Ovis aries: one gene and its partners. The protein of the gene in region 1 interacts with the protein of each later gene in a pairwise test. Links are inferred from orthologs where the notes say so. Each region holds a gene or a part of one and is shown in the gene's direction. Other genes may lie near its edges.

What was found.
Region 2: the proteins of PNMA1 (region 1) and SPATC1L interact in binary tests that used the Homo sapiens proteins (3 or more experiments, as listed by UniProt). The two-hybrid records come from large-scale screens. The link is inferred for Ovis aries from reciprocal best matches to the Homo sapiens genes PNMA1 and SPATC1L.
Region 3: the proteins of PNMA1 (region 1) and TEAD4 interact in binary tests that used the Homo sapiens proteins (3 or more experiments, as listed by UniProt). The two-hybrid records come from large-scale screens. The link is inferred for Ovis aries from reciprocal best matches to the Homo sapiens genes PNMA1 and TEAD4.

What each region holds. Positions count from the first base shown.
Region 1 is NC_056060.1:83,213,362-83,217,752, reverse strand, and holds PNMA1 (paraneoplastic antigen Ma1), read left to right. Parts: upstream 1-1,541; 5' UTR 1,542-2,356; coding exon 2,357-3,418; 3' UTR 3,419-4,200; downstream 4,201-4,391.
Region 2 is NC_056054.1:266,614,662-266,618,306, reverse strand, and holds part of SPATC1L (speriolin-like protein), read left to right. Parts: 5' UTR 1-1,685; coding exon 1,686-2,034; intron 2,035-3,645.
Region 3 is NC_056056.1:212,613,711-212,617,355, reverse strand, and holds part of TEAD4 (transcriptional enhancer factor TEF-3), read left to right. Parts: coding exon 1-1; intron 2-362; coding exon 363-515; intron 516-1,325; coding exon 1,326-1,439; 3' UTR 1,440-3,645. UniProt on the Homo sapiens protein: Transcription factor which plays a key role in the Hippo signaling pathway, a pathway involved in organ size control and tumor suppression by restricting proliferation and promoting apoptosis.

The sequences.
Region 1 (4,391 bases):
CACCCCCTTCACAGCTAAGGTACACAACCCATCCTTTCTGCTGCCCACTTCCACCCTGGCACAGAGGTCGTGTGCTGCTTATGTCTAAAGGGATCCCATATATTTAACTGCCTCAGTGACCTAACCTCTTCTCACGTGCCAGATGTTAAGATGAAGGAGGAATACAACACATATTCAAGCCTCAGCTATTTAAATGTTTTTATTGAGGCTCACTTTTCTTGCATGGTATTTATTACCAGACTGGCAAGCCTAACTTCTTAGGTTTACAGGAAGTATGCATATTTTTATAAAACAATTGTATGTCCTCCCCATATTTTTGCTGTGTTAATATTTGCCTCTAACAATTTGCAGCTGTTTCACCTTTTCCTCATTTGTCTCTCAGTCGAAGGCCTTGTTGGAGGGGACAGAGCACAGGAACAGCCTTGACAGTCTGTAATTATTGTACAAATATTTTAATAGCATATAAATAAGTATATTCCTTTTATTTTGAAAAAAAAATCAGACACTGCCTTCTGTGTGTTTGCTGCCTGTGGCACCCTTTTTTAAAAAGACTGTTACATATTAAAATAGTGTACATATATATAAATATTACCTCTTTTGCTGTACAGTTGTGATAGACCAGACGGAAGATTTTATTTTTTGTGTGCTTTTTATAAAAAAAAAAATTAACACACTAAAGAAAATCTTGCTGATGTGATTGTAATGTACCTATGTAACTTATTTACTTTTGAATGTTCTTCTGTATCTTTAAACCTTTTATTAAATAAGGTTTTAAAAATTCATAGTTGAATGCTGTGTCCTTTAGGGGAGATTTTCACCATCTAGGATTGACGTAAATTGGCCTTGGTTTGCTTGCAAGGAATTACTTGAAATTTTTGAGCCATAAGCATTCTGTTTTATCAGCCCTTTGTCAGTGATGCCAGGACAGGGGAAATAACACACTAGCGTTTGCCTGGCTACAAAGGTTACTTAATAGATCTAGATCTTACAAAATTTTAGAAGAAAAAGGCTCAACTCAGTGTCTGACAGGAGAACACTGCACACTTCCAGCGTTTTAGTCTTATTGGAATGAAGTTCGCGGAGGGTGCACAGTGCGATCGATCGGCTGGTACTGCATCTGTTTTTAAACAGCAAACTTTGGGAGTTAGTGATGGACCAGGAGACCTGGCGTGCTGCAGTCCATGGGGTCGCAAACAGTCGGACATGATTGAGCGACTGAACTGGACTGGTTGAAGGAGCGACGTGAGTTAAGTCTTTCTTGACAGACTCATATCATCTTCAATGCACTCCAGAATTATATTAAACTTTTAAACACAGTGCTTTGTTTAAAAAGGAAAAAAAATCTGGAAAATGAAAAAGGACATGCGCCATCAGAGGACGCTCCGCGGGCCCTTAGCTGGCACCATGGCAACCGCAGGCAGCCGGAGCGTCAGGGTCTGGAGTCTTCCAGGCCGCCGTTGCCTTGGCTACGCTCGCGCAGGATTCGGCTGCGGGGGCGGGGCGAAAGCCACTCGTCGGCCGGCCCCGCCCCTCGCTGCGGCAGTAACGCCTGGGCTGGCTGCGGGTCGGTCAGGCCGGCAGCCCCTCAACGCCGTTCGGGGTCAGCTCGCCGCAGCCCACGCGCAGCCGCTGCGGCCTGCCTTCGCCGGCGCCGCCTCTAGCCTCGCTCCCGCCTCCTTCCCGCGCCTCGGCTGCTGGTGCTCAGGGTATCCGACTGTCCTCGCCGCCCAGAGAGGTGTACCTGCGCCAGCGAAGAAGCCGCTCTTGGGCTGGCCTCGCTGCGACCTCTGGACAGTCTCCCCCTGCAGGGACGGCACAGTTCGCAGTCTGCAGAGGAGCGGCTCCTCGCGCGCCTGAAGGCCGAGCTCTGACCGCGGAAGCCGGGTTGATGCCAGGAGGGGCAGCAGCGAGTGGTCGGCTCCTGGGCTGCGGAGAACTGGCGGCCACGCCCCGGGATCACACCCCGGCGGCCTCTTCAGAGCGCGGCGTCTCCTGCCTTCTCCTCCTGCCTTCCCTCCGGGCCTCTGCGCGGAGACACGACACCCTGCCTGCAAGTGCGGGACCCGGCCCGCGGACGCCGACCGGAGACACGAGATGGCGTTGGGCGCGTGACTGAGCATCCCCCAAGTTTCGCTCCGAGGACGCGGAGGACGGACGTTGGTGGAGGCAGTGAAAGGACGAGAGCTGGACTCTGGTGTCGTTTGTTAATTGTGATTGCTTGAAGCTTGACTCCCTTGGGCAAATTGCAGGGGAGTGTCCGCTGTCGTCCTAAGTCCTTTAGCACAGGGAGCCACAGTCTTAACTTATCTAACCCCCTGATAACCCAACTATCAGGGGCTCTTGATAGTTGGGGAAAATGGCGATGACACTGTTGGAAGACTGGTGCAGAGGGATGGATGTGAATTCCCAGAGAGCCCTGCTGGTCTGGGGGATCCCGGTGAACTGCGATGAGGCTGAAATCGAAGAGACCCTCCAGGCTGCGATGCCCCAGGTGCACTATCGAGTGCTTGGGAGAATGTTCTGGAGGGAAGAGAATGCCAAAGCAGCCTTGTTAGAGCTCACTGGAACTGTGGATTACGCTGCCATCCCTAGGGAGATGCCGGGTAAAGGAGGGGTCTGGAAAGTAGTCTTTAAGCCTCCGACTTCCGACGCTGAATTTCTAGAAAGGTTGCATCTCTTCCTAGCCCGAGAGGGATGGACTGTGCAAGATGTTGCCCGTGTCCTTGGGTTTGAGAACCCCGCTCCGGCCCCAGGCCCAGATATGCCAGCAGAGATGCTAAACTATATTTTGGATAATGTTATTAAGCCTCTTATAGAATCCATATGGTACAAGAAGCTGACGTTGTTCTCGGGGAGGGACATCCCGGGGCCTGGGGAGGAGACATTTGAGCCCTGGCTGGAGCACGCTAATGAGGTCATTGAGGAGTGGCAGGTGTCTGATATAGAAAAGAGGCGGCGGTTGATGGAGAGTCTTCGAGGCCCTGCTGCTGATGTCATCCGCATCCTCAAGACCAACAACCCAGATATTACCACCGCCGAATGCCTGAAGGCGCTTGAGCAGGTGTTTGGAAGCGTGGAGAGCTCCAGGGATGTGCAGGTCAGATTTCTGAACACTTACCAGAACCCGGGAGAAAAATTATCTGCTTATGTCATTCGTCTGGAGCCTCTGCTGCAGAAAGTGGTGGAGAAGGGAGCCATAGATAAAGATAACGTGAACCAAGCCCGCCTGGAACAAGTCATTGCCGGGGCCAACCACAGCGGGGCCATCCGAAGGCAGCTATGGCTGACTGGGGCTGCGGAAGGGCCGGCCCCTAACCTCTTCCAGTTGCTTGTGCAGATCCGTGAGGAGGAGGCCAAGGAAGAGGAGGAGGCGGCTGAAGCCGCCCTCTTGCAGTTAGGCCTGGAGGGGCACTTCTGAGTCCCGAGAAAACTGACTTTAGTGCAGACCTAGATCACAGCTGCTTTTCGTGTCTCTGTGCTGTCCTGCAGGTATGTCACCTAGTGGTAAAGACTTAGCGTGGTTTTTCTGGGGTAAGTCAGGCCTGCATATTCACGTTAACATTGGTAAAAGCTTGCAAGCCAGCACCAGAGCTGCTGCAGTATGAGTCATGTCAGCCACAATGCCAGGGAGAGACTTGGACAGTGCAAATTGTCAGTGCTGCAAGCTGTCATGGCGTCATCATCATCAGTTGTGAAAACCATGGGAACTCGTGACACTTCCCAGAGGTAACTGAATGTGAAATTGCATGTTCAGAAGTTTTTAGTGCACGGCCTGGCTCACACAAGAAGTGTTGAGTAAAAATGTGAACTGTTGTTATTACTACTATTGTGAGTAGTTTTTGTGTTTACTGTAAATTGTTTCTGATTTATATTAATGGAAAGAAATGTGAATTAGATATTATTCAACTTTACAGTGCAAATTTCTCATTTTTCATCTTTAAACATCTAGATCAGTTTGAGACGTGTTCTGAGGCTGCAAAAGGAGTTGTTAGAAATACTGCACTTAGAGTTGTGTAAATCAAGTTTTCACTGAACAAGATACGAATAGAACAGGGAGGTTAATATGAACCAGCTCAGTATCTATTCCCCCATTTCAAATCTTTATCATTGAAGAAGTTTACCTTGTTCATGCTGGTTCTAAGTGTTCTAAATTTGAAGTTATCAAGCACATGTTTATTAATAAAAATATTTTAAAAATTCTGTTGTCTTGTTTTTCTGACATGTATGAAAACTTTCAGTGTAATTAAGCTCTATGATCTTCTTCGGAAGACTTCGCCATGTCACTGAAAAAAACCCCAAACCTCAGTTCTTTTACTTTAAGCTTTATATCATACTATGTAATTTAAAGTTTCAGTACCTTTCAATATATTCAATTTTTGCATGTTTTCTAC
Region 2 (3,645 bases), on another chromosome or scaffold:
AGTTTTGGTGGCTGTTTGCATGTGTATCCCAGGATCCTCAGTTTACGTGGACAGGGTGGAGCCATTCTACACTGACTCCCCAGCCGTCCATCTTCCGTCCTTGACCATTGGCCATCTCCTGGAGGGCTTGCTCACTGTTCCCTGTTGGTTCACCACCAGCCCTTAAGTCTGGTCCCCATGACAGGAGTGCTCCTCCATCTCCCAGCAGCCATGGGGGCTTCACAGGTACCCCTGCTCACGGGGGCTGTCCAGGAATCCTTGGGTCAAAGGCCACGTGCAGCTCAAGTGTTGACATGGACACTGGGACCCTCTCCAAAGGGCTGTGGCCTCTCCTGCTGCACCTTTCCCACAGCTGGTGTCACCCATGGGAGGGGGCCGCTTTGCATATGGTGCACATGTTCTGAGGGACAGGGTGGGGTGGGGGCCTTGGCCATCCCAGGCCTTCCCCTCCCAGGCCAGTTTCCTCCAGATCACCCTCGTGCCTGAGCCCCTGGCGTCTCAGAGCCTCCACAGTTGCCTGGACGCCTTGTCCTGCATGGAGTGTCCAGTGATGTTAAGTAGTTTCTGAGTGTTCTCTCTGCCTCTTCCCTTTACCATCACGAGACAGCTGCTTCTGTATTGTCATAAATACATTCTAAATAGCTGTGTAATAGTCCAGAATCAGATGAACCGGAATTTAATGAACTCTCCTTATGTTTGAAATGACAGTTCTTTTCTCTTACCCTGAAGTAAGTGTTAGTTGCTCAGTTGCTTCTGACTCTTGTAACCCCATGGACCATAACCCATAAGGCTCCTCTGTCCATGGAATTCTCCAGGCAAGAATAATGGAGTGGGTTGTCATTTCCTTCTCCAGCTCTGAAGTAAGTGAAGTGAAGTGAAGTCGCTCAGTTGTGTCCGCCTCTGCGACCCCGTGGACTCTAGCCCACCAGGCTCCTCTGTCCATGGGATTCACCAGGCAAGAATACTGGAGTGGGTTGCCATTTCCTTCTCCAGGGGATCTTCCCAACCCAGGGATCGAACCCAGGTCTCCCACATTGCAGGCAGATGCTTTAACGTCTGAGCCACCAGGGAAGCCCACCCTGAAGTAAATACCACAGCAAAAGCATTTTCTATTCAGAGTTATTGCCTTAGGGTATGTTTCCCTAAAGGTAGAATCACTGGCTCAGAAGGCAGGGTAATTATTTTCACATCTCTTTTTCTTACATTTGCCCAGAGGGTGAGATAGTCCCCTGCACCTCTATTAAGCTGCTCTGACTGTTTCTTCAAGTCTCTTTAGCCATTTCTCGCATAAATCTTTCACATTAATTGGTTTATTCCTGGGGCACTTTATGTTACTAATTGCAATCATGGATGGGATTTCTTTTTCCACTGTGTTTTCAGTTATCTGTGTTACTGTGTTTTGGAAATCTGTTGATTTGTAAATATTTAGCCTATATCCAGGCCCCTTATCATATTTTGCTTACTTTATATTTTTATTTTTACTTTTGGCCACCAGGCATGCTGGTTCTTAGTTCTCCGACCAGGGGTTAAACCCAGGCCCTGGGCAGTGAGAGCGTGGAGCCTGAACCACTAGACCACCAGGGAATTCACTATCCAGTCCCTCCCTGAGCTATTTTGTTCTGCTGAGTTTTCCAGTTCTTTCTCCCGTTTTCTCAGTTCTGTAGCTGCTGTTTACAGACTTTTAAATGGGGTTGGCCTCTCAGATGGGCTTCCCTGCTGGCTCAGTGGTAAAGAATCCACCTGCCAAGCAAGAGACAGGGCTCAATCCCTGGTTCAGAATGATCCCCTGGAGAAGGGAATGGCAACCCACTCCAATATTCTTGCCTGGAGAATTCTCACAGACAGAGGAGCCTGGCGGGCTACAGCCCATGGGGTCACAAAGAGTTGGACACGTCTTAGCAACTGAACAACAACGGCAGCTCATACGCTCGTTTCTGTCTTTCTTCCTCAGGAATCCCAGGACTTTTGGCCTTGACAGCCTCCCCGCTCATCCTTCTGGAGGGTGGTCGGCAGTGGACAGCCCTGTCTGTCCAGGTATTGGGGGTGGGGGGTGTAGGCTGGGTGCTGGGGAAAAGCCTTCTAGTCCTTATTTTTTAAGAACAACAATGACAACAAAATTGAAGAAGGGCTCATTTTGTTAAGATTTTATGACCTCACTTCTTTTCTGGCCAAAGTGCCCTCAGCTGCACCCCCACTGGCCTGTGGGGTCTTGTTCCACTGTGTCATTGAGAGACTCCTGGTTCTGGGCCTGAGCTGTTTGCTGTGGGATCTGTTTGGCTGGGGCTTCGCTCAGGATCTCTGGACTCTGTTTTCTCTAATTCCTATGTGAATCTGGGCTGCAGTTTTCTTTCTGTGAGTTGTCTTTTCAGGGATTTGATATCAGAGTTATGACAATTTATAAGCTTGATAATCAAGCATCGTTTAATTTTTTCAGTGTTCCAGCCTCATTCATGTGATGCAGGGGTTGTGAATTGTTTGGGGACTTGAAAGAACTCATCCACCAACCACACAGGTCTTCAACTCTTTGCCCATAATTCTATAACTTCTAGGTTTTTCTTTTTTGCTTATTCATCTGTGCAGGTTTTCTACTTCTTATTGAGTCATGGAAAATAGCTTCCCAAGTGATCTCTCCTTTATTAAAGTTTTCAAGTAATATTCAGTTGGATATAATCTTTTATGATTTAAACATTGTCTTCCTGGTCATTCTTATCTGGCTTTTCTCATTTTCAATTTTATTCTTTTGTTTTCTGTTTCTCTAAAGTAGCTTTCCAGGGTTTCACTATCTTATTGGACTTTTTGTAGAGCTGTTTCAAGTTTATTTCTGCTGCTATTTTTATTATTCTCTGACTTTTGCTTTCTTCAAGAGTTCATCCCTATATGAATGTTTAATTTTTTGATTATGTTTTAGAAGTAATTAAAGGATTTAAGTTGCTAATTTCACTTTAGATACAGTTTTAAATGTATTGATGGCAATATACCTAGTGTTCTGATTTTCATTATTTCTCAATAATCATTCTTTCTATTTCTATTTTCTCCTTGATCTGATTATTACTGAAGATAATTTTTTTTCTAATATGTATATATTTTTTGGTCTTAGTTGTGGCACTTGGGCTTTCTAGTTGTGGAGTGGACTGAGTTGTTCTGCAGTATGTGGGATCTTAGTTCACTGACTAGGGACTGAACCCACAACCCTTGCATTGCAAGGTGAGTTCTTAACCACTGGACCATTGGGGAAGTCCTGAGAATGCTTTTAATTTTGAGGAGATAGGGTTTTCTATTGACTCTGACTCATTTATAGTTTAATATGGTTTGAAAGTTTTGATTATGTGTATATGTATGTGTATGTGAAGTCGCTCAGTCCTGTCCGACTCTTTGCGACCCCGTGGACTGTAACCTACTAGGCTTCTCTGTCCATGGGATTCTCCAGGCAAGAATACTGGAGTGGGTTGCCACTTCCTTCTCCAGGGGATCTTCCCGACCCAGGAATCGAACCCAGGTCTCCCACATTGCAGGCAGACGCTTTAACCTCTGAGCCACCAGGGAAGTTTTGACTGAGGATTTAAAAAATTGTTTTATGTTTCACACAACTTTGTTAAGCCTTGGGAATAACAGAAGGGAATTTCAGTTCACTAAATAGAAACTAAA
Region 3 (3,645 bases), on another chromosome or scaffold:
GGTAGGCCATGCTGCCCACCTGGGCTCTGGCCCCTCACGCGCACACACACACCGCCCCCAGCTTGGGCTTCTCGCCTCTTCCCCTAGATTTGTCTGAATTAGGGCAGTCTCACCCTCACCTCGTCCTTACCACTGACAGCCTGCCTCACGCCCAGCACGAGCCGGGGAGTGGTGGGAGGCCAGGCACCCCCATCCTGGTGGTTCTCACCGGCTGTACATCAGGTCTTGGGGGGCCAACACCCTGGCACTGAGTCCCCCACAGTGTTTAACCCCAGACCTCTCCCACCTGCGGGTGGTGTCTGGGAACCGCCGGGCTGGCGGTGGGCGGCGGCCTCCTAAGCCGCGCGTCCCCGGCCCTGCAGACCGAGTGCGCGCGCTACGAGAACGGCCACTACTCCTACCGCATCCACCGCTCCCCGCTCTGCGAGTACATGGTCAACTTCATCCACAAGCTGAGGCACCTGCCCGAGAAGCACATGATGAACAGTGTGCTGGAGAACTTCACCATCCTGCAGGTGTGGGGGGACAGGCGTGCGTGTGTGCAGATGTGGGAAGGCAGGTGTGTGTGTGGGGGACAGGCGTGCATGTGTGCAGATGTGGGAAGGCAGATGTGTGTGGGGGGGACAGGTGAGTGTGCAGGTGTGGGAAGGCAGGTGTGGGGGGAAGGTGGGTGGTGTGTGCTGGTGTGAAGTCAGGTGTGGGGGGGAGGTGGGTGGAGTGTGCAGGTGTGAAGGCAGGTGTGAGGGGAAGGTGGGTGGTGTGTGCAGGTGTGGGGGAACAGGTGTGTGTGTGGGAGCAGGTGGAAAGGCAGGTGTCTGGGGGGGACAGGTGTGAAGACAAGTGTGGGGAAACAGATGTGTGTGTGTGCAGGTGTGGGAAGGCAGGTGTGTGTGTGTGGGGACAGGTGTGCGATGTGTGTGTGTGTGCAGGTGTGAAGGCAGGTGTGGGGGGAAGGTGGGTGGTATATGCAGGTGTGGGGGGACAGGTGTGTGCGTGTGTGCCAATGTGGGAAGGCACGGGTGTGTGTGGGGGGACAGGTGTGTGGTGTGTGCAGGTGTGGGAAGGCAGGTGTGTGTGTGGGGACAGGTGTGTGGTATGTGCAGGTGTGGGAAGGCAGATGTGTGTGTAGGGACAGGTGTGTGGTGTGTGCAGGTGTGGGGTGACAGGTGTGTGGTGTGTGCAGGTGTGTGGCGACAGGTGTGTGGTGTGTGCAGGTGTGGGGGGACAGGTGTGTGCTGTGTGCAGGTGTGGGAAGGTAGGTGTGTGTGTGTGGGGGGGTGGGTGGTGGGCGGAGCGGACAGCACACTGTCTCCCACACCCCACAGGTGGTCACCAACAGAGACACCCAGGAGACCCTGCTGTGCGTCGCGTACGTCTTCGAGGTGTCAGCGAGCGAGCACGGGGCTCAGCACCACATCTACCGGCTGGTGAAGGAGTAGAGACCAGGGACAGGGAGGGGGTGACATCACGTGTGCAGGGACGAGGGGAGGGGCCCCATGGGGCAGCCCCCGAAGCACCGAGAGTTGAGGTGGTGACTCTTCTACCCAGGAGCAAATTCTGCCTGAACCTGCAATTGCCCAAGCCCAATAAACCCCAGCTCTGTGCGTCTTCAGAGGCCCCGTCTGGCTGCGCGAGCCCCGGGAGGGCTGAGGGAAAAGGGGCCGGATGCCACCCCGGGCGTGGCTGTGAAGCCAGGGCTCCGTGGACTCGGCCAGGACGGTTGCCAGCTGCCGACGCTCAAGATGGCATGTCCCCGAGCTGCCCTGGAGGCCTTGCCCCCGGCTCCGGCCACAGTGGGAGGCCTGGGGACAGGCACGGGTCCCCCACCTGTGTGTCCTGTGCGGGCACCTCGGCCACCGGGAGTGATGTGTCTGCCTCACTTTCCCCACCGCCTCTGCTGCCGCTCCCTCTGAACAGCCGACGGGGAGGCCGGCCCAGCTCGGGGGTGGGTTTCAGGTGTGGAGGTTAGACAGGGGCAATCAGAGCTCTTTAGCTCCAGTGGGCGTGAACTCTCTGGCCCTGCCAGCTGTCTGGGGGGTGGGTTCCAGGTCAGGGGGGGCCCAAGACAGAGAGGGTAGGAGTGCTGGGGCCAGCTTCTGAGTGTGGGTGGGGGCTCTGGGGTTCCTCGGTGTCCTCTTCGGTGGTGAAGGCCAGGAACGTTGGTCTGAGGTCCGCGCTGTTCTGGTGGTCTTTGAGACCATGCAGTTGGTATGCCTTGCCATCTCACAGCAAACGCCTCCCAGCCAAGAAGCCTGCTGGGTGGTGACCACCTCGAGGCAGCCGCGCTGACCACCCCCTCCCCGGACGGAAGGTTCTATGCACCCTGGGGATGGAGGAGAGGGGAGTGGAGCCCACCCTGGGCCTGGGGGGACCCCTCAGCTGAGGGAATTTCCCTGGTCTGTTCCTCCTGGCAACTGGCCTCAGTCCTAGGGCTCCCCGCTGCCTGCCCTGTCTCAGCGTGTGTCCTTTCCTGCCTGTAGAGGGGGACGGCCTTAGTGAGGAGGACATGTCTGTATAGTGCCTGACGCAAGGTGCACTAAAGAGAGAAAAAGTTACCGTCCTCTTACCCCTCCTGGCCCTTGGGATACTGGGAACCGGCTCTTTGCTGCCATCTAGTGGCTGTTTGCTATCATCTTGCCTAATAGGGACCCACACTTCCCGGAGCCTGGAACCCAAGGAGACTAAGAGTCACGTGCAGGAGTTTTGTGTGCTGATCTCAGGGACATGTGTGGGGATATGAAGTGAATAAGATGGTGTTGAGGAGGTGTTGTGTGGTTAGGAGCCAGGGCTCCAGAGTCAGTGGCTAGGATTGGAATCCTGGTGCTCAGCTTTGGACTGTGTGGCCTTGGGGAAGTTACCTAATTTCACTGTGCCTCAGTTTCCCCATCTGTACAATGGGTATAACAATAGTACCTACCTCGTATATGTAGAGTGCCTAGCGTGGTGCCAAGCACACGAGCGCGTGCTGTGAGTATGCATTATTATTAATAGCACTGACTCTTGCAGTCTGAGGAGTCAGCTTGGGAGACTCTTAAGTGGGGGTGGGGTGGTCCTCAGAGCAACTGGAATTCAGAGGTGGGAGGGGGTGGGGCTTGGAAGGTTCAGGGAAGAGGCGGAAATTGAGAGGGGCTGCTTCTTGAAAGAGAGGCATTGCCTAGATGAACAGCCTGAAGGGGCAGTCTGCTGGCAGCTCTGGACAGGGCAGGAGGACCAGCCCTCCAGCTTCCTTCTGGACAGCTGCTAGACCCCGGGCCAAGTCGTATCTCCCTCCTGGGTGCTGGGGCCTGGGTGCGAGGGGTCCCTGAGTCTCTGAGAATTGTCTACCGTCTTTGTGTGGTTTGGGTCTGGGGAGGCTTTCCTGCCCACCCCTGGTCACTGTCATGGCCTTTGCCCTCCCACCTCCCCACCCGTGTTCCCGGAGCTGTCAGGATAAAGGGAGCCCGTGACCTCTGTGCCCGCACAGGACTGAACCTTCGGACAAACACTGGTGTATGAGTAGCCTTGGGCCCTGGGACAGATGCACAAACTGCGTCCATCGTTTTGTGTCCTGGGTCTAGGGAGTCCATGTAGATGTTGGGGCCAGAGCTGGCTTCGAGTGTTCCCTTCTCTTTAGGGCCTGGTCTCAGCAGCCTAATGGACAGTCAC